3 linked regions of the Oreochromis niloticus genome follow. The protein of the gene in region 2 purifies or fractionates together with the protein of the main gene of each other region. This does not show direct contact. Links are inferred from orthologs where the notes say so. Each region holds a gene or a part of one and is shown on either strand. Other genes may lie near its edges. The genes, in order: sirt7, mybbp1a and lyar.

The links.
Region 1: the proteins of mybbp1a (region 2) and sirt7 purify together in Homo sapiens (affinity purification with western blotting; 3 studies listed by BioGRID, with this or other methods). This does not show direct contact. The link is inferred for Oreochromis niloticus from reciprocal best matches to the Homo sapiens genes MYBBP1A and SIRT7.
Region 3: the proteins of mybbp1a (region 2) and lyar purify together in Homo sapiens (affinity purification with mass spectrometry; 3 studies listed by BioGRID and IntAct, with this or other methods). This does not show direct contact. The link is inferred for Oreochromis niloticus from reciprocal best matches to the Homo sapiens genes MYBBP1A and LYAR.

Annotation. Positions count from the first base shown.
Region 1 is NC_031971.2:32,548,895-32,556,601, forward strand, and holds the start of sirt7 (NAD-dependent protein deacetylase sirtuin-7), read right to left. Parts: upstream 3,092-7,707; 5' UTR 2,945-3,091; coding exon 2,840-2,944; intron 2,732-2,839; coding exon 2,594-2,731; intron 1,323-2,593; coding exon 1,218-1,322; intron 1,136-1,217; coding exon 1,065-1,135; intron 970-1,064; coding exon 897-969; intron 359-896; coding exon 260-358; intron 1-259. Other genes in the region: uncharacterized protein cp110, read right to left, coding at 5,180-5,339, 5,569-5,651. UniProt on the Homo sapiens protein: NAD-dependent protein-lysine deacylase that can act both as a deacetylase or deacylase (desuccinylase, depropionylase, deglutarylase and dedecanoylase), depending on the context. Specifically mediates deacetylation of histone H3 at 'Lys-18' (H3K18Ac).
Region 2 is NC_031975.2:24,293,163-24,300,122, forward strand, and holds the start of mybbp1a (myb-binding protein 1A-like protein), read right to left. Parts: upstream 3,094-6,960; 5' UTR 3,019-3,093; coding exon 2,842-3,018; intron 2,126-2,841; coding exon 2,030-2,125; intron 760-2,029; coding exon 676-759; intron 594-675; coding exon 519-593; intron 235-518; coding exon 127-234; intron 32-126; coding exon 1-31. Other genes in the region: tbl2 (transducin beta-like protein 2), read right to left, coding at 5,000-5,459, 5,880-6,032, 6,389-6,515. UniProt on the Homo sapiens protein: May activate or repress transcription via interactions with sequence specific DNA-binding proteins. Repression may be mediated at least in part by histone deacetylase activity (HDAC activity).
Region 3 is NC_031970.2:28,789,946-28,796,978, reverse strand, and holds lyar (cell growth-regulating nucleolar protein), read left to right. Parts: upstream 1-3,984; 5' UTR 3,985-4,391; coding exon 4,392-4,513; intron 4,514-4,600; coding exon 4,601-4,715; intron 4,716-4,810; coding exon 4,811-4,918; intron 4,919-5,000; coding exon 5,001-5,081; intron 5,082-5,270; coding exon 5,271-5,595; intron 5,596-5,802; coding exon 5,803-5,865; intron 5,866-6,025; coding exon 6,026-6,111; intron 6,112-6,244; coding exon 6,245-6,382; 3' UTR 6,383-6,534; downstream 6,535-7,033. Other genes in the region: zbtb49 (zinc finger and BTB domain-containing protein 49), read right to left, coding at 1-31, 118-164, 266-1,374, 1,464-1,615. UniProt on the Homo sapiens protein: Plays a role in the maintenance of the appropriate processing of 47S/45S pre-rRNA to 32S/30S pre-rRNAs and their subsequent processing to produce 18S and 28S rRNAs. Also acts at the level of transcription regulation.

The sequences.
Region 1 (7,707 bases), on a different chromosome or scaffold from region 2:
GGAGCACCCAAGTGACATTAAACGGGCCTATGTGGAGAGTCGAGCAGCAATTTAAGCAGCGTGTGTGACGGCTGTTAAAAAGCAACATTAACCTCCAGCGCTTTTAAGACATGATGCACCTGAGAAATATTTTTGCATGAGAAACAAACACGTCTGGATCTGTAGGGGTTTAGGTTTAGATGCTGTTTTTAGAAACATCACAGCAAATTCTTTCCAGGCTTTCTACAAAGTCTAAGGACTGAGGATGCGTGGTTCTTACCTCAATAAACATGTTTCCATGGAGTTCAGAGAGGGCATGTCTGGGCAGACTGCTACGCAGGTGAAGTCCATCGCAGTTCTGAGACACAACGTGCTTAACCTTTACACAGAGCAAACAAAGACAGAACATGAAGCACTGCCTTTAAATGTGATGTGAGCACAGATGCTACAAGGAGGAGACGCAGCACCGGGGTAAACCGAGGTAATATTCTGTAACGCTAAAGATGGACGCTGTCCTGTCCTTATCAATGCCAGAGCAGGAAACACAAATAACCAATCATGTTTCAGGTGTGTGTCACATCTGCTTGTTATCATAGTAAAGTTCTGGTAAGTGTAGCTATTGTTTTTCTTGGCTAACCGTATTAAAATCCTTCTAGAAGTAAGTCTTGTGATTTTGGAACATCTTGGAAGTTATTTTGAAGCTTCTGTCTGAATGAATAACTGGAAAAAGTAAATAACGTTTTTAACTTAAAGCTTTCTTTTAATTATTGGATTTAACTGATGAGTCTTTAGATGCTGTTTTTATGTCGCAGTAACCATTGAAACTGAAGTTACAAATCTCTAATCACTCATTTAAATGCAAAATATTCAATATTCAAATTCAAAATATGTTCCTGGAGGACTTTGGTGTGACATACCAGCTTTTCCTTATGAAGCATCTTAATGCACATGTGCGTGAGCGTCGGCTCCGCTTTACTCAGGTCTGACGAGCTGTTCGTAAAGAAACGCAGAGATAAATCAAACAGAATGCACTAGGGGAGAGTAATACATATATTTCATGTCACAGTAAACACTCTGTATCTCACCTAATGGCCCGACCCTTCTGTAGCTGCGTCCATACCCCGTTAGGGCCCCTGTAGTCAGGGATAGAAGCTGCCTGAAATTATAGACGATGTCAGTTTTGTGAAAGTTTAAAAAGGAAAAGGAAGGCGAAAATGAAGAGGAAGAGTTTAACATACCGTGCTGATACCGGCTCCAGTGTAAACCACCAGGTGACTGGCTTGTTTGACTGCCACAGCGAGCTGCCTGACTTTATTTTTCAGCTCATCAACACCATCAAATACCTGAAAAAGACATTAGGGATGTACTAAAGACCATTAGAGCTTCAAAAATAATCAGAAAAAGATTGAGGGTTTGTCTGGAGGGTGGGTCAGGGAGTGACGGTGACGATGGTTTGCATCTGATTTTTTTAAACCATGACAAAATAATGTAAAATGATCACTGAAGGGAGGAAGTCCGAAGCAAAAGAAGCAGTTTTAATTTTTAAAATCATGCAGTAAACTACTGTACGTTTCACTCTGAAGCCTCGCTGCCCTCTCACAGCAGAAAGAGCAGGAGGACACTGTCACCCAACCATGATCTTTAATGAAAGTTTTTTAAACACCACAAATGCTTCTAAGAGAGGAAGAAAACACAGGATGTTTTAACAAGTAATGTCTCCCACCCTGTTTTAGCCTACTAGGAATAACCCTTGAAGCTCTTTTCTGAACAGAGTGGTTTTTACCATATTTTAGGCCTGCTTATAGAACAAAATGACTGGGTTTCCATCAGAAATTCGTGAGGGTGGTCTCTCTATGCAGCTGACCTTCATAAACTATTCTAGTGGTCATCAAACTCAAATCAGAGTATATTGGTACTGAGGTGTCAATACATGTCATTAAGGGTACTGGGGAGCTTGTCAAATGTCGTCTTTACGGGGAAAAGAGTTAAACCACGCCTGGTTCAGCTCCTCAGTTCATACTTTGGCTAAGTCTAGGATTAAAAACCAACAAAAATAGCTGCTAACATTTAGCACTTTGAGAGATACTGCTTCTGGTTGTATGTGTGCGTGTGTTAACTCTTATTGATAATAAATGGGTAGATGTTGAATCCTCATACTGCTCCTCCATGAGCAGTCCATGAGGACCGGAGTGGTAGCTCAGGAGACCAGTGGTTGACTCTGGCTCCTCCAGTCTGCATTTTGACTTATCCTTAGGCAAGATACTGAAGCCCGAATCTAGCCTGCTGCATCCATCAGACTGGGAGTGCATGTGTGAATGTTAAAAAGGTGCTTAGGTGTAAGAAATGAATGTGTGTGATTGGGTGAATGAAGCTGTTAGTGCCCATTTAGAGCAGAACAGCACTGTACAAGTACCAGTGCATTTAACAGAATGGGTTTAGTCCTTTTGTATTTATTAGACTTTGTGCATAAAGAGGGACTACCATTCAACCTCTCTGAGTCTTCACACAATCAACCCAGAAACCTGCTGCTTCCACTTCTGTTCTCAAGTTGTCCCTCTAGCTGACAAACCAATCTTAGCAGGCCAGATCCAGCCTCTCTGGGCCGGAGTCTCACCTCTTCCTGCTTCCTCTTGAGCACATTTCTGCGGACTTGTCTCTTGCAGAGCTCCTCCACAGTGTCTCTGTGGAGCAGCAGAGCAGCGGCCTCCTCCTCTGACCGCTCAGACTCCGGTTTTTTCAGGACCCGCCCGACCTGCGGGAGGAAGACAGAGGAACCGGGTAAGCCTCACAATGCACACAGCAAACATGAGCTAGTCTAGCCTGCTAGCTGTAAATGTGCATCTGTTTTCTCCCCTCTCACCAGTCTGAAGACCTCCCTCTCGCTCTCTCGCTGTAGTATTTTAGCTTTGCTCAAAGCTTTCCTCTGCGCCCGGGAAGAAACACCGGCGTCCTGCTCTTCCGCCATCCTGTTTTCAATCAGCTGACGAGAAGACGTCTATTCAAAACAAAGCTCATAGCACCAGACACAGCCGGAAGCGGAAGGTAAAAAAGAAACCGGGTGAGAGCCGGGAACACCGCCCCCTGCTGCTGGGAGTCTGTATTTTCCCTCAGTTTCACACATCACATCAGCAACTCAGTGTAAATAAAAGTTTATTATTATCAAACACGAACAAATAAATAACATTTAAAACAAATCAAAAATCCACAACAATACAAAATTTGCAAAAGGTTTTAGCTACAAATATTTAAGGCAACACGAAGAGTAACACTTCAAGTCAAATATCAGAAGACGAACAAAATACTACTCATATCACACAAGCAGGGTTTAATATGTGTGAATACAAGAGGTGGTGAATCATGAAGGTGATGAATGAACAGGTGTGTTTCAGCTGGGTGTCCTAATGCACCTCTTTTCCATCCACGCAGAGAGCTTCCAGAGAACCGGCCCACCCCTCAACTGGTTTTAGTGGTGATTATGCTGAGTTGCGAGAAGTTAAGAGCTACTGTGGCAAGAAAAATGATGACAGAGAGAATCTGAGGACTGCCTCTGCTGGTTGTTGTGATAGTCCTTCTCATGGTCACTGACCTGAGTGCCTAAATCACCGTGCCTGGGATCTCTGAAGTGTAGTGCTGGCCTCAGCTTTTGTCACCTGGGACTAGTCTGCACTACACTGAGCACCAGCAATGTGTTTGTGGAAAAGTGGAAATACTGTTTTTTTTCCACAAAAGACAAAGATTTATAACAGCAGCAGGAAAAACACAAGCAATGCTTATTTCCCATTAAATGTAACAGTGAGCCATACAGCACAGCACATACAAGGGTGCTTTTCCAAAGTGTCTGCTCTGAAAAGGCTTATCTACCACATATTTACTTCCTAACATCATCAAGTGGATCTATAATAATTTTTCTTGTTTTCTGTCATAAATACTGTGGCACAGACAAAAGTTAAGGCTTCACACTGCTCTAACTGTTTTATCTATGCTTGGCTTTAAAAGAAAGAGGATATCCCTAATATGGTCTTATCAGGCACAGAAGTCCCACCCACTTCCTACTTGAAACCCGTTTTATGAGGGGCAGCCAATCAGGAGAAAGTTGACTAAAACAGCTCATTTCAGCTAGTTAATGGGAGCGAGGTGCTACGCCAAGGCGTAGTATCAGATAATAAGGAAAACTTTTAACTGTTAATCATGCAAAGCCATGCTGGTAGAGTGAAACAACAAAAAATGGAGCTGAAAATAAGCAGAACAAAGCTCCAAGCTATGTTTCAAATCTGAGAGTAAGATTGAAGTATATTTTATTCTGTTTCATAGATGTTTATAAAGCTTATGCAGGCAAAGAGCTGCCAATGTCAGCAAACGTGAAACAAGGTGCTGTGTAACTATTAGCTTGCCAACTTTAAGGCATGTGACCACAGTCACACTTTAAGATTATGTTTAAGGATCTGTGGTCCTGAAATTTCAGTCAAAGTGGTCACAAAGTTAACAAAAGAGGAGCTAAAGTATCTTATTTCAGACAGTGGATGGAGTGAGAAGCTGCACCAAGCCTCAGCAAAAGATAAATAAGGATTTCTGTTACCTATGAATCATGCAAAGCCACTCTAGTGGAGTTCGTGAATAAAAATATTAGGCTGGAAATAAGCACAATAGGTCACCTTTAAACAAAGCGATTGCCTATATGAAGACTACAACGCACAACCTACTAAAGAGTATTTGTTCCCAACACAAATCTAATATTTGACCCCAAATTTATGAACTGCTGTCTTCCTCTAGTACCCAAATGAACAGAGAGATGATCAATACTGTTCACTGTAGCTGTCAGAACATCTGCTGAGAGTCTATAAATCTTTCAGGTGCTGTGAACAACCCTTTATAGTTGCTGCCAAACGATTTTTTCTGTCAACTCAACATTTTCACACAAATATCTTCAACATGAATAATCTGAAGATGGCAAAAAAGATAAATAAATAAATAACTAAAAGATGCCGGAAGCAGACGTGACATAGCCGCTCCTCTGTAGACACCATGGTGTCAAAAATGTTCTCAAAGCCCCTGAGATGAAATACAATGATATACATTAGTCATCCATTTGAATCAAATTTGGTTTTTGGATTTGGAAACTCTCAGATGATTAGTAATACTCTATTCATGTAATCACTAGAGGGCTTGTTAGGAGTTCTCACTGGGGCCAATTAGGAAGGTGTCATTGGGGTCTAGAGGAGGAAGCGCTCTTGGGGACCCTCTGAGGATTTGCTCTGAAATGTCCTCGTTTGGTTTCTGGCAGGAGCTCAGCAGAGAATCCAGACTTTTGTGCTGTCCTCGTCATAACCCCCCGGTGCCTTCCTGCAGCCTTTCTTTGGATCCTGAAACAAAGACAAGACAAGTTTTAGGAGCTGACAAAGAAATGAAGAAGAAAGTTTTTTCTTTCTGTGGTGCAGGATTTTCAATTCATCACAAAATTAAAGGAACTGCTGCATTTTTACCTTGCAATAAAAACCCACTCCAGTGGTTCTTATGTAACTTGTAATGACTGGGTTCGGTTCACATTTGTGAAGAAAACAGAAAAACAGCAACGATGCAGGAAAAACTCACATCATTCCTCTTTTCCTCTCCAGTGACTTCTGTGTTGCAGCTGACAGAAAGCTCTTTCCTCTCGGGCGGCCAGTCTGTGAACCCTAAACACACAAGCACGCACACACGTAAAAATGCACAATATTTAGAACACAGTCTCTGCAGCAGCCACCAGTATCAAAAGCAAATCCATACACTGTTGATGTAATATTTGAATTTCTACTTCTCAGCCTAGAAACTCAGAACAGGAGAATGAATACAATTCAAATAGTTTGGCGTTATCACCGGGAGGTATTCTAAGTATAACAGCAACCATATTTATATGTGAATCACATATAAGTGATAAAATAACCACTATGATTATAAATACAGCTGTGGCCAGCAGTTTACATACAATCATCATGGGCATGAATGCCGTGGTATTTTTGGGCCTATAATGATTTCTTCAAACAGTTCTTTTTCCACGGTGACATGATTGTCATCAGCATGTATCTTAAAACAAACAAACAAAAATTTGGTACATACGTTTGAACTTATTTTGAATTTTCTCTAAAGCTCCTCGGATGAGAGGTGAAACGTTGTCAGGAAATTTTTCTTTCCAAGCTCCTGACCTGGATGACTGAGAACCTACACAGACACACTACAGCTGATAGTTTCTCTTTGCCAGCATTAGAAGAATTTGTTTAATGGCACTCATCGGATTGATCAATAATTAGAACAATGAAGTCAAGTGCAAGGAACTCAGTGAAGATCTAAGAAGGAGAACTGTGGATTTACCAGAGTTAAGAAGGTCTCTTGGAGTTATTTCTAAACAGATTCCAATATCTCCAGTTCAAACAACTGTATCAAAGTACATGTTATTTTTATGTGTCACCACTTTGCCAGGGTCTGAAAGAAGACCCAAACTGTCACGCTCAGATGACAGGAAATTGGTTTGGATGTTCAGGAACAACACAAGAACCACCAAGGCTCAACACTGCCATGAACTGGAAACTGCTGAATGTCAGCATCAGTATCCACAGTGAAGCGAGCTGAAACTCAAAATGGACTGAGAGGGTGCAGAGAAAGAAGCCTTTGCTCCAAAACCGACACCTCCAGCTAGACTGAAATATGCAGCTAACCACATGGACAAGCCAATTGCCTTCTGGAGAACAGTTTTATGGTCAGACGAGGCAGAGGTCTATGTTTGGAGGAATAAAGGTGAGACTTTCAAATATAAAAACACTAGACCAGCTGTCAAGCATGGTGGTGGCATCATCATGCTCTGGGGCTCCATACAGCTGGGTCTATAACAGGAAACTAACCAGTTTAAATGAACTCAGAATCAATTCTGTAAAGAAGAATGGTCAAATATCCAGCCAGAACTATGCCAGAAGCTCGTTAATGGCTACAAAAAGGATATGGTCAAGGTCGAACTTGCTGCAAGAAATTTAACCAACTATTAGTGGGGGTGCATGGATATATTTGAGCTTGTATGTATACTTGACCCTGTGTGGGTTGCAGAAAATCCAAAATAAATTAAATCTTGTGACTTTTTAAAAGTCATTAAAGATGTGTGATGTATATGCTGTACAATGTACCATTCCACCCTGAAAAATGAAGTTAAAAATGAACAAAGACCAAACTTTCTGTGACATTCATGCCGACAGTGAGTGTATACAAACTTCTAACCACAACTGCGTTTGCGTGATGCTTCTTTTGACCCAGCTGGTGTACTCTTACATCCTCATGAGATCTAATTTTACAGTGAAACTGAGTAAAAAACCCAAAACAGTATGTGTCTTTCTTACTTTAACCTTTTGATTTGCTGTCACATGATCACACACTTATGAATTAATGAGTCTTCTGCTGTGGTACACAGGAACATGGGTAGTATTGTATTGTAATAAGTTATAGCTAACTATATGCATATCCTGTGCATGTCAGGAGTTAAACATAAGGTTAATCACCTGTTATGAAGGACACTTTGGGTAAGTAAAAGGAATAGAGAACATAAAGTGAAATATGATTAGCTGCTCATCCCATCCACTCATATTTTCTCTTCCTGCTGGAGAGATGATCCAGTGTTAATTTTGTTAAAAGCTTTCTCTGACTGCACTAAAATGAATTCATGATTTTGTGTACATATATAAATATGTATACACACACACACCCGAAGTC
Region 2 (6,960 bases):
TGAGGACCTCCTCAAACACCTCCTCAGGGACCTGATGGACAGGATGACATAGACTAGAGTCAGAAAACCCCTGAAAATTGTTGAAAAAGACCATTTTTATAGCAGTAACTAGTCTGCAGCTGTCACCTCAGAGAGGATGTCCGTCATGGTCTTGGTGGGTAGGTCCTTCAGGTGTTGTTTGTGCTGACTGAGGCTCTGCAGGAGCTGCACACATCCCAACACCACCTGTGGCTCCTGCACAGAAACAAGACAGAGAGCTCAGAGACCACAACGTATTTGATAGAGCATCAGCTGTCCTGGATCTCCTCTGTTCCCTGGATCTTAAATTTCTTGTGAAATTTACAACCGTACAAAAACCTGAAAGTGATGCAACCATGATCATTTTTTTCCCCTGCTTTCCCTATGATTACTATCCCTTAAATATTTGCAGGCGTCTTCAATATATTGTCTCAGGCACATTCTCCTCTTTAATGCAGCAAAAACCTTTCCAAGTATGCTAAAAATGTGAGAAAACTTACCTTAGAGAGGCGGTTGGACTGATGAATGGCGAGAACACCAAACAAGTTTCCAAACATAGCATTTCTGGCAAATTTCTGAAAGACGAAAGATGAAACAAGTTCAAAGATTGCATTCATCGATTTTGGTGCTAAAAGATACCAAACACCCAAAACTCACCTTTTTAGCTCCTTGCAAGTTGTGCTTTTCTTTGATTCTGTTGAGTATACTCTGCAGGGAGACATCTTCAAAGGCACTCAAGACCTAAAAATAAAGGAAACTTTACTGCTTAGCTCAGTTATTATAGAGCACCTTCCTAACACTAGCAGCAAAACAGCATTTTGTACACACTCCGAAACCCATGTGACCAATATATTCAGTTCAATACTCATCTTAAAATAAGGTAAAACTAGCACTTTAAATTGCATGACGCTGTACAGAAGGCGATACACAAATAAAGGGAGACTGTCCATGCTAGGCAGAAAGCACAGGATGATTCATTCAGGATTTTGAAGCACAGGTAGAGAGAAGGTATATCCATGTTTGACAGGGGAAAAACAAAATTGTAATGACACCCTGGAAACTTCTGGCTACCACCCTCATTTAAGATAAATATAACGCTGGGCTTTACAGCTGACTGGTTAGCTTTTAACATGATCACATGTCCTCCTTAGACTTTTGAATTTTGCTCTTTAATGAAGAGTAACGGCAACACATCTTGACCACTTTATTAGGTATATGTGTACATGCTGATGTCATAACCTATTGCTATAGAAAGCTTATAGTGACACTTTTGTACATACAAAAATGTGCCAAAAAAAGGTGTGTATAAGTCTTTTACACACAAATCATCGCTTCTCTCTCTTTGTCTCTATCTTCTTTGTCTTCTTCATCTGCTTCTGTGACTTTGTCATTTGCCTCTTTCTCCTCATCTTCATCTTTGACAACTAAAGGTCGTCACGGCAGATCATCTGAACATCCCCCTATCCCCCAGCATCTTCCTCTGTCGTGCCAACGCTCTGCAATGTCTTCCTTCCTCATGAACCTGCTCTCTGGTCTTCCTCTTTTCCTCCTGGCTGGCAGCTCTGTATTAAACATCTGCTATCCTTCCTCTCTACATCTCTAAACCATCTCAGCCTCACCTCTCTAACTTTTTCTCCAAAAAGCTCAACCTGAGCCGTCCCTCTGATGTACTCATTTCTAACCTTCCCCATCCTGCTCTCTCCCAGTGAAAATTTTAGCATCTTTGGCTCTGCCACCTCCAACTCAGCTTCCTATCGTTTTGTCAGTCGAAGTCTCCAAACTATACATCATAGCAGGTCTCACAACCATCTCTTAGCACATAAAAGCCACATCCAGGAATTTTATCACTTATGAAGATAAATAAAGAGGATTTTTGTTATTAAAAGTAGTGTTGAACTGCTGCACTGTGTTTATTAACCCCAACCCTGAAACAAAGATGTGGCTGAAGCTGTGGATGGGTGCACAGAGGCAGGTCCGCAGACAAAGATAGATGGGGATAAACTCCACTCACCTGCCCCAGAGCGAGGCTGAACCCAGGTCTCGCAGTCTCCCGTGTGTGAGCCAGTCCATCCACCAGCCTTTTAAAGGTGTATTCCAACTCATCCTCCTGCAACACATGAAGAAAGACTGTTTAAAACTTTTAAACTACAGACACTTTAACACTATGTGGAATCATATATATATCCTGGAATATACTTATACATGAAATACTACATACTACACTCAGACATTTTTATAATTGCACTTTTTAATAAATATTTTTTTATTTAAGTGTTGGGTTTAGTTTAATGACCAACAACAATCAGATAAAACTCTGATTCCAAGGATTTCATTACGGGTAATGGAGTTCCACTGTAAACATGCAATTAAACCTTGACCCTTGACAGTAAAATACTTTACTGTGCTTTACAGTATTTCTACTTGCAGTACGGTAAGAAAAAGTTTACTATATTATTAAGCAATTTTATTTGATGTTTTGATTCTTATAAAGTATACAAGGTATTTTAACAAGTTTTGATCAAGTACTTATACACAGGTAGTTACGGTAATAGTGCCTTATGTTAATAATATAGGCCTGACTCTGTTATATGAGTATTAAATTCTTGATACTTGAAATACTTCAGTGTGTCAATGATATCCTGTATGATATCCAGTCATATAATCAGTTACATATGAAAACATCTCCCACCTCTCCATACGACACTATGTGTACAACTACTACTTCTAAAAATATTAGTGGAAAACTTCTGAGGAGTACATGTGCAGCGGGACCACGCTCCGTTCAGGGAGTCTCTCAGTGTCATCGATCGCACTCTGCCTCACCTTGTTGTTGGTTTTTAGGTACTGTATCAGGTTTTCCACCGCCTTCAGTCGGACCTCTTGATCCGGTTTGGCCAGGTCCCAGAAGAAGTCGAGGAAGACCCGGTTCTGCTGCAGGTTACCGGCGGGCCGGAGCGGTTCCGCCGCCTTCACTGAGAGCTCCACCATCTCTACAGACATCTGTTCGAAATGCCACCACCACCTCTACTCATGCTGCTGCAGGGGGAACACGTGCCTCACTCACGGAAACTACATCCGGGTCAACTCACCAGCCATGTTTTTTTTAAGAAGAAAAAAAGAAAAAAACTTTATTGAGCGATTCACAGAAGGGAATGTAATATAATATAATATAATATAATATAATATTGTTAAAAGAGTTGTTAAAATGAGCATATATATCCACATATTCAAATAATAATAATGCTAAATAATAAAAATATATCAATGCATTTATTTATTGAATTACATTTAATTAATATCATACAACATGTTTTTGTTACCATGAGCCTTGTTTTAAGTTTTCTTTCATCCAAATGGTTAAAATAAATGGTGACACTTTTTTCATTTGATTTGCCTTTATTTGTCCATCCATTACATTTTCACTAGAATTTGAACATTTTTATTTTAATTTAACATTGCACTTTGTGTGTCTTTGTTTTACTCTTTTTAAAATTTGCACTTTATATTTTCAGTCTTTCATATTTATATTTTCAGTGTCAGTAACAAAACAATTTCCCTCTGGGATCAATAAAGTATTCTGAATCTGTTCTCCACCCTATAAATGACTTAGAATTCTTTATATAAACTACTCAAGCCACACATTACACTGGATCACCCAGTTTTTCTGATTAATGTAACAAGTCCATGTCTTGGTCTGAAAGACTGGGAAATAACTGATTAATGTTGTTTAAGGGAATATTATTTATTTATTTTTTGGTGATGTTTTACAAAATATTCATTCTGACACTCTTAAAAAAATACCAAAAAGGGCACAGAGATTCAGGATGTCTGTCATGGGACAATAAGAAAAATCAAGTCTTCTATTAAAGCTACAAAAATTAATCCAGACTGCACAATTTAATTAAGATACCTAAGGTCGTATTTTATACCCAAATCCTCAAACACGAGCACACTGTAATCAAATATATGCCTTTATTCAAAACAAGTTACAAATTCTGCAAATCCTGAGGATTATTTTGATATGCTTTGACTTTCTGGGGATTACAGGACACTCCAGACTTCCCCGCTACAACTCTGGAATAAAATATCTGTTTGTGAGGATCAAATACACCTTCAGTGGGCTGCTAGGATGGACTGAGGAATAAGCTAGTTTTTCTTCCCCAGTTTGACTGACTTTGAAGTTTTTTTTTTCATCACTCTCACAGATCCAAAGACGTGGTTTCACCTGTGTTTTCTAGATGCCAGACATCTCACTCACACTTCTTTTAGTTGGTTGTACTTGAAAGGCACCTCACAATTTACGTTCTGCTCTGAAGTCAAATCCTCTTATGGTATTTGCACCGAATTGTACACCCATGTGAGAGTGCACAGGTGTCAACTGAGGCCTAATTTTTAGCTCTCAATAGCAATACCATTAGATAAAGCTTTAAGGATTTCAAACAGGAGATTTCCAAAGATTTACTTTGGATGTAATAAGCAGAAAAGGAATTTTACTTCAATGCCACCCTCTGGGAAAATATTACTTTTAACTTGTTTTTTCACAGCAGAAATTTTGACCTACCACAGTAGGAAAAGCAAAGGTGTGACTAATAACATTAACATTAGTTTGTGTTCAAAGTTTCACAGTGAGTCAGCACAGACAACACCTGGACTCGGAAATGAAGCACCCAAACCGACAGTGGCCATTAGATGTTAAAGGGACTGTTAATCTGTTCCTTTTTCCACATAGTGACTCTGAAGAACTATGAGACCAATTTCACAAACTATGACAAATCAAACACAATCACAGCACATCACACTCAGAAGTCCAAATGTCTCAAATCAAACGAAGCACTTCCATAAAAAGATACCTTTTATTAAATTGCATGCAAATCTCATCTTCACAGTCCAGATCATTAAGAGGCAGAGGTGACTATGCAAACAAATGATTAGCAGAGTCTGACACTGTCACATTCAGAGTGTGATTTCCTGTTATTTCTGTTTAGTTGGAGGGGGCAGCGAGCACAGCGTCCAGGGCACTCTGAGCCTCTTTGATCTGCTGCTGCAGTCTCTGCTTCATGGCCTCGTTCTGAGCCTTCTTTAGCATGTCCTGCATGTCTTTGATGGCAGCCCGATAGCCCGGAGCGTTGTGAAACACTCGGATAGCCTTGTCGCCACTGCACACCAAGAAGCGTCCGTTAATGTCAAATCTAAGGTCCGTGATCTCCACGCTGTGGACGCCGTGCAGCTCCTCCTCCAGCTTTCCGCTGGCAGCATCGTACATGGCCACGTTGCAGCCATCGCTGACAGCCACCACCCGGCCGTCTGGAGACAAGGCCACCCGGCTGCCTTCAGACGAGCTGCAGGGAATGGTTTTCAGGAGGTAGGGATCCTGCTGCTTTTTGTACTCCACGTCCGTGTTCCACAGCTTCCACGTGCCGTCTTTGGAGACGCTCACCATCCTGAAAAATGAAAGGAAAGCATTACTGCTTAACACAGCTTAACACAGCTTAACACAGGACCCTCATGCACCCACCACCTCTAAAGCTAATTAATTAACAGAGATGCTCTCCTGGCTGATTAACCAAGAGAGGAAAACACTCAAAACCAAGCACTATTAATGGAGTTAGACTACATACAATTACTGTGTGTGAATTTAAGAGCAATGATTTTAGATACTTAGAATGCATTTTAAAATAGCACTGAAATGTGTGCCTCCCTGTCAGACTATTGTCCTGATTAGTTTTCTCAGTGTGCCAACATTAGCAGTGTTAGCAGCAGCAGGCTTCTTTACCCTCAGCTTAACGTTTATAGGCTTTTTTATGCTGCCTCAGCTTATAAACAACCATTCATTTTCCATCTCAGATATTGCAGCGTATTACCTGCGAGAGTCGTTGGAAAAGGCAAATGCATGGACTCCAGCAGAGTGGCCCTTCAGGTCAAAGGCTCGCACCACCTCTCTGAAGTCTCCTCCTTTGCCAAAGCAAACCTCCCACACCTTCACATCAGGAGTGAAGCCGCAGGACGCGACAAACCTGAGCAAATAGACGAAGCACGATCAGAGCTCCCAAAGAGTGACACGCAATTCAAACACTTATTTTTATTTAGATTTTTATTTTACTGAATGGAATTTAAAAGTAAAAACAATATGAAGAAATCATCTTACATGTGGGAAAAAGGTTGATTCAATACATGACTTTTCAAACCTTTATTTTTCTCAATAACAATTTAAAGCAGAAGAACCTACAGCTCTTACTGTAAAACTTTGCCTATAGACACTTTTTCTGTTTTAATGTCATGAAACAGTAAAACAATAAACTTACAGAGTAGATGTATATCATTTCTAAGCTTTCAAGTGTAAGCTGTGCAATAAATGAGGAGTGGGACTGACCTGCCACACGGGGAGATGGCAGCATAAGAATTGGTTATCTGGTTCGTGTTGATAGAGGCGAGCAGCTCTCCTTTCAGGTCCCAGATGTTGATACAAGTGTCGGTGGAGGCACTCATGATAAACTTGCCTGTGGATGAGAAACACAATATCAGCCCCATAAACTGGTGACAAATACTGAAAAATAAATAAATAAGGTTTTACAGATATAGCCTTTTTTGCCAGCTTTCTTCTCATGTGAAACTAGAGTCAACTTTGTCTGTGAAGGTTCTCAGTCATCCAGGTCATCGTAGTCAAAGGAGTTTGCAAAGAAAAGCGTCTGGACTTCTTTAAGTTGCTTGAAGACGTTTCACCTCTCATCCGAGAAGCTTCTTCAGTTCTTCAGAGAAGCTTCTTCAGTTCTTCAGAGAACTGAAGAAGCTTCTCGGATGAGAGGTGAAACGTCTTCAAGCAACTTAAAGAAGTCCAGACGCTTTTCTTTGCAAACTCCTTTGACTAGAGTCAACTTTTATTGCTTGTTGGTGGGTTGATTTTTTTCTTAAAACCGTTAGGCTGCCAAGAGGCTGACTAAAGCT
Region 3 (7,033 bases), on a different chromosome or scaffold from region 2:
GACGCCGCAAATGTGTCTGTAAATTTCCAGCCTGTAAGACAGAATCTGTCAGACATCTGAGTTTAATGTGAACATCTAAGAATAACTATTAAATTAGAAGAGCACAAAAGAAAATACCTGTGAGAAGTTTCTTCCACAAACGTTGCACTGAAAGGGCTTCTCGCCTATAACAGAACAGATCAGTTTATGCCTAAGAGCATTATAATTAATTCCTATAATTCAACGTTAAATGTGTGATTCTAGAGCTGTTAAAATCAGGAAATACCGGTATGCGAGCGCTTGTGCAGCTCCAGGTTGCTCGGGTGTTTGAAGATCTTCCCACACACCTCACAGCAGTACTGCTTGTGTCCTGATTGCTGAGCTGGCTCCGGCACAGGCTTTAGATTTTGCTCCTCTTCATTCACAGGTGGAGGACTGGGAAGCTGTGCATCTGCAGCTGTGTCTGTAACCTCATCTCTGGCTGCAGTGCTATCTTCTACAGGAGCTTCTGGTGCTTGAACCTGGACCACTGTCTCTCCTTGAAGGCTCACCTTTGAACAGCTAAGGACAGGTTCAATAACTGATTCAGTGCACATCTCCTCCAAAGCCTTCTGAGACCGAAGATAGTTATATTTCTTCAGGTAGACGGCCTTCTTTGGGCGCACTGGCTTGTTCATTGAGGAATCTGGGTTAGGAGTGTTTAGATTATCTGAGGGTGTGAGAGAAGAGTCAGGGTTCCTGTCCACACTCACTGATATGGAAGACTGATTAGGCTGAACTGTGTTTCCTGAGTTCACAGGGGTGCTGTTGCCTGCCTGGCTTATCGCAAGTTGACACTGCTGCTCTTCCACCACTGAAGGGCCCTGGTTTGAATTTGCACTATTGCTCTGTATTGCACTTTGTTTAAAGTACTGCTTACTGTAGAAGTTGCGGAGCTTGTAACCATGAGCTAGCTGCTTTTCTACTGGTGCCTGAGAGCTGCTACCCATTTCACAGTGTGAGCTGCTGTTAGGCACAGAGATTGGCATCCTTCTGGTGTGGTCCACGTCACTGCTGAAGCCAGGCCTCTGGGATTCAGAGGGACAGGGCAGGTCAACATCGTTAGGAAGACTGCTTCCAAGCAGGCAGTCATGCTCTGAACCCAACATGCCTGAGAGAGAAAAGGAAGGCATTTCCACTGGCGGAGGACAGGGCTTGAGGAAAGCATTGCACATGCTCTGCACATTCGGAACCTGCAAACACTGTGCGATATCTAGGAGTGCTTGCACATTATCTTGGTTAATATCAAGATGGGAGGTATACATGTAGTCCAATATCTGGCCAATGCCACTGACATCCTGGATAACTAGGTTGAACACGTCATTCTTCTGACTGGGGGAATTTTGGAACAAGGACCTGAAAAGATCAGAGTAATACTTAATGCATCCGGAAACCTTGAAGCAACTCTGTATGATTAACGTTTATTACAAAACAGATAATGGCACCTGAAATAGGAGCTGAAGGCGGCCAGGACGTTTTTGTGGGCTTTGAAGCAAACACCTTTGACAACCAGCATGCAGTCACAGAGCAGACCCTGAATCCTCTGCTCCTGAAGCTGCTGGAGGAGGTAGGAGCTGTGGCTGGACAAACTGTCCATGGTTACTCAGCGGCTCCACCACTCACTTCCAAAGTCTTCATCAAAAAGCGAGCTAAGGGGACCCAAGTTAAAAACAGACAACAACAACGAGTGATTAGCCAGAGCTGTTATTCCTTTTATTTCTCCTGCCAGCGAGCCAGGAAGCGCTAACAGCAGTTTTGAACAGACCGTATTGACATATGGGATTCAACAGCCGCGCAGAATCCAGTGTGCCTCTGCAGCAAGACCACCCATGCAAAAATTGGACACAAACTGCTAAGCTTAGCTACAAAGCTACGCTAGCCACCCATGTTATTAAGCGGTGTAAATCGATTGAGCACAAAATCCCGAATGAATTACTTTTAAAATCGAGAACTGCTCCTCGGTACTGTGACTTATATATTATCTTAGCCCATAAAGTTGGGGGTCAAACTTACATTAAAGGATTCCAACTTTTATTTGGATGATAGGTCACTTTTCGACAGGCATGACAAACGTCACTTCCTGGTGTAGCTTCAATTTCGAGTTGCTAAACGCTAATAAATATCGTTAACCATTATACAGATATACCATGTTAAATAATGGAACGGCTAAAGTCACTGTAAGGAGAGGACATGCTAAAAGTAACCACGTGGTTCATACTTATTTAAAAAAGTTACACGAGGATCGTTTCCACCCTGCTCGGAACTTTTCTTTGGTTGCATTTGCACAGGGAAGACTAATAATGTAGCGACCAAACGGTCCGGTGTTTTGTTTTGTTTTGTTTTGTTTTTTAGCAAAATCAACATACAAACAAAATGCACCATATATTATACATTCAGAAAATACAAATTTCAACCTTTGTACAAAGGTTAAAAGAAGACGGGGTCATAAAAGTTAACAGAGTATTAACTCACTAAATCAAAATCTTCCAAAAAGGAAACAAAAAATGCAGCCTTTTTCTTTTTAACTAAAGTCAAAGATTTAAACAACAGGTTTAGGTCGTTTTTCCAGTGAAATAAGGTTGGTTTGGTCTTAAAAAACGACATTTATGTATATATTGTATACACAAGATTAATAAAACATTAACACCATAATTGACTTTCTTTTCCTTCAGAAACATTCCAAACAATATCATATTTAAGGTACATGGGGTAATTTGAATCCCACTCGATTGAAGCCAGGTATGAAAATCCAACCAAAAGATTTGTATAAAATTGCACAAAAACAAATAGATGGTGCAAATCCTTCTCTTCTGTTTCACAAAATACACAATTAATAGTTTCTACCTTAAATCTATCACCAAGGAGCGTATTTGTTGGGTTAATTTTATTTAAAATTTTGAATTGGACTTCTTTCCCTTTAGGAGGGATAGGGAAGGGGATATAATTAGTTCTTATTCTTTCAATTTCTTCCTTTTGGAAATCTTTTAATATGTAATTACGTCTAAATAAATTTGGAGAATAAAGACTCCTTAAGGAAGATCTTAGAAACTTATTATTGCATTTAACATCACAAAACTGAATACCATCTATATATAACTACCTTAACTTGGGGGAGATGTCAGAATATATTATATCACTTACGACTATGTTTTTAAGTGACAATGGAATTTTACAACCCGATTAAATTTACTTTAAGAACATTGGATATTAAATTTTTGGCAAAAATCGTAGTGTCCTAGAGCATGTCCCTCCTCATCTACAAATTTTCAGTAAACACTTAATCTGGCTGATGAATCTTCACGTGACACCTGATAATGATATTCTGTCTAAGGAACCTGCCATGCTACACAGTGTGGTAATAATTATGGGCAAAGATAAGATAAGATAACCTTTATTAGTTCCACACGTGGGAAATTTGTTGTACCATATCCATAAGTGTAAATGGCACAAGTGTAAATGGCAAAACAAAAGACCTTCGCTAAGTGAGTTGAAGATTGAATTAATAATACAGACTTAGTAATATGTCACGTGAAGATTCGTCAGCCAGATTAAGTGTTTACTGACAATTGACAGTGATGGCGGACATCATCATCACTATTCCAATCAATCCTCTCCACACAGACAATCATAAACACACTCGACTATCACTAAATCAAATTTAACGCATACACAAACACGATTTGTAATGACGCTAGTTCAGTTTACAACAGGGCTCATTCGCTCGGTCAGCAAGTGGCAGTATCCTTGTACACTGGGGAGTAAACTTCCATTAAACGAAACAGGTGAAGAAGAGAACATCTGCACATGCGAGGTACGGATCGGGGAGTCCTGATCCGTAACTGTTTTTTTTTTTCTCGTTTTTGTCTACATTATATTAAAATGTTTCATTACTGCAAAAATTTTAAGAGAAACTTATTATTGTTAACATCTTAACAGATATTCTGACCCCGTAAAATGCTTCGAGCGGAAGTAGTGGCCTTTCGCACATGCGTGGTACCGATCGTGTTTCCGGTACAGATTGGGTAGTGGTACCCTAATGTGTGTTTGGAAAAGTTTGTAATATAACGAAGCTGCTGAACGTTTGCGCTCAAATGTGATTTTGAGGAAACAGATTTAATCCGTGGGCTCACACCGTTTTGACCTCCACTTTTCCCAGGAGATGGTTTGTTTTTGTAGTGTTTTACAGTTTTAGGGGACCAGGGTCTGCCGCCGTTCTTTGGCTAACGTTAGCTCGTATCAGCGCTGTCACATGCGTTCAGCTTTCGCATGAGAGTTTAACCGACTTCGGTTTATAGGTCAGTACCGCAGAGTGTAGGCCGGTTCAGTTTTGACCGTTATCGCCGCACTCTAGCCAAACAGGAGAGTCTTTGAATATGGTGTTTTTCACCTGCAACGCTTGTGGGGAGTCCCTAAAAAAAGCTCAGGTTGATAAACATGTAAATATCTGCCGGGGCTGCCAGGTCCTGTCCTGCATCGACTGTGGAAAAGACTTCTGGTAATTAACGACTGTTCACTGCTACCCCAGGCTAACAGGCGCTAGATCAGGCTCGGTGCTAACGATTTGTGTGCATTTTTGTACTAGGGGCGATGACTACAAAACCCACATTAAATGCATCAGTGAAGATCAGAAGTATGGAGGCAAAGGCTACGAGGCGAAAACAAACAAAGGAGATGTGAAACAGCAGCAGTGGCTCCAGGTAAGATTCAGGGAAGGAAAAGAAAAGAAAAACTCTGCAAAGCTTTTGGATCACTTAGGAAAGCCAACTGTTCTACCTTTGTCCTTTTCCTGAAGAAAGTCCACGAAGCCATGAACAAACCTGGAGTCAGTGCAAAGCTAAGAGATGTCCTCCAGCAAGTCAGTACTTACGATAACGTACCTAGAAAGAAGGCCAAGTTTCAGGTTAGTATTACTTAAAACTGTACAAAGTAATCAGTTGTCATGTTAATGTTGATTTACTGTCACATTTTTCTTTTCCCATCAGAACTGGATGAAAAATAGTCTCAAAATACCAAACCCCAGTCTGCAGGAGGAAGTGTGGAATATACTTGCTGCAGCTGATAACGTAAGTTAGGCTTGTTAGTTCTCATGTTTTTTGTTTTTTCTGTGAATGTGTGCTTATTAAATTTGAATGTTACCAGGAAATGAATGGAAGCAAACTGCTCCTTTTAACATCAAGTATGCCATAAAAATAAAGAGTCTAGCATGTTTACAATAGCTGTGGTGATTGTCTTTAACTGCCACTGTCTGACAGGCTTCAGAGCCCCCACAGCCAGCTCGGCAGACAGCGGCTGAAGTCAAAGTGCACACTAATGGAAGAGAAGAGCCGAATGGCCACCCAAGTGTTGAGGAAGAGAAGAAGAAGAAAAAACTGAACAAACGGGAACGCAAAGAGGCCCGACAGCAGAAGAATGGGAAAGCTACAAAAGGTGCTGAAAATACAGTCGCACAAGAGCTGGAGGAAGAAATGGTGGGCAAAAAGAAAAAGGACAGAAAGAGAAAACAGCTCTCTGAAGAACCCAGGGATGATGAGAACAGCCATGGCACTGAAAATGAGACATCGAGCAAGAAAACAAAGGGTGAGTCAAGATTTCTGAAGTGCTAGACATTATCTGTTACTGTCATGGTTAAACTGAGTTTAGGTATTCTCTAACACTCAAGCATAGATTGAGGATGTTTACATCAGCAGCTTTGTGAAGTCTGGTCAGATTTATGTTTATTTTTTTGTTCTAAAGTGTGTGTGTATTTCATATTTATTAGATAACTCTGTTATCATCCTTTTCCAGTTGATGAAGAAATGGAGGATGCTGATGATCAAGAAGAGACTGAGGATCGAGCTGTTACTAAAGGTACGGTGGAGCTAGCAATGACTTGAGATTGCCCCGCTTTAATAAATGATTAGTCCGTGATTAGGCAGCAGAGGTCAGTGTTGCCTCTTTTGTTCAGAGTGAGAAAGTGACCCTTGGTGATTAGTGTCTGCACTGAAAGCTGATTTCTGTTTCTCATCAGGCAAATTTAATTGGAAGGGGAACATCAAGGCAGTACTGAGAGAGTCACCTGACCAGGAAATGTCAGTGAAGAAACTCAGAAAGAAGGTGAGCCATGAAGTGTTTTCATTGCTATATGAAATGAGGATGAAGTTGTTTATTTGTATATCAAACTCTTAAAGTTTCAAAACTCTATAATCTTTTATTAACACTAAAGTAAAAGCTTGCTCATGTTTTTCAGGTTTTGGCTGCCTACTATTCCTACACTGGTGATAGGAATTTTAAGAAGGAGGAAGAAGTGCTAGCACTTTTCAACAACAAGATCACCAAAAATCCAAAGCTTAGAGTTTTGAAAGATAGAGTTAGACTTGTAAAGTAGACTCATTCATCTTCTCCTTTTGACATATTGCATAGATTTTTAAAATTTCAAAGCCATCATTGTCTTATTGTTGTCTGTCATCTTACATTGGACTTCCTTTTTTTAAAAATACAGTTGACATGATGTTGAAGATAAAACATTTTTACCACTGATTTAAGTGTCTGGTTCCTGTTTGACTTCCAAAATTTAGTACTGTTTAATGTATGACAATTGTGATAGATGGCTGCTCTGTTACGCATTCCAAGCTCACGGTAAGGCTGGGAAATGGCACCTTATCTGTGGGATTGGATGTTAGAGTGGGGGAAGGGTAACGGGAGAGGTGCACCTGAGGTGAATTAGACTCTCACACGGGACGAAGTTAATGCACATTCCTCGGCACCCCGAACGGGGTTCACTTGGCCAGGGACACAGAAGCCCCATAGAAGCAAGACGCCTGGTGTCAGCCTCAGGTGAAGTTTTAATGCTGTCTGATTTTGCACGACTAGAATGAGCAGTCTCTTTACCCTGTACGCACACGCAGACACACAGACACAGACGCACACACAAACAGGAGGAAATCTGCCCAGCTTTATGAAGCTCAGCTAATCCCAGCAGGTTTAACACTGATGCTCATTCATCACACTGCTTACCTTGTAATTGTATATTACATAC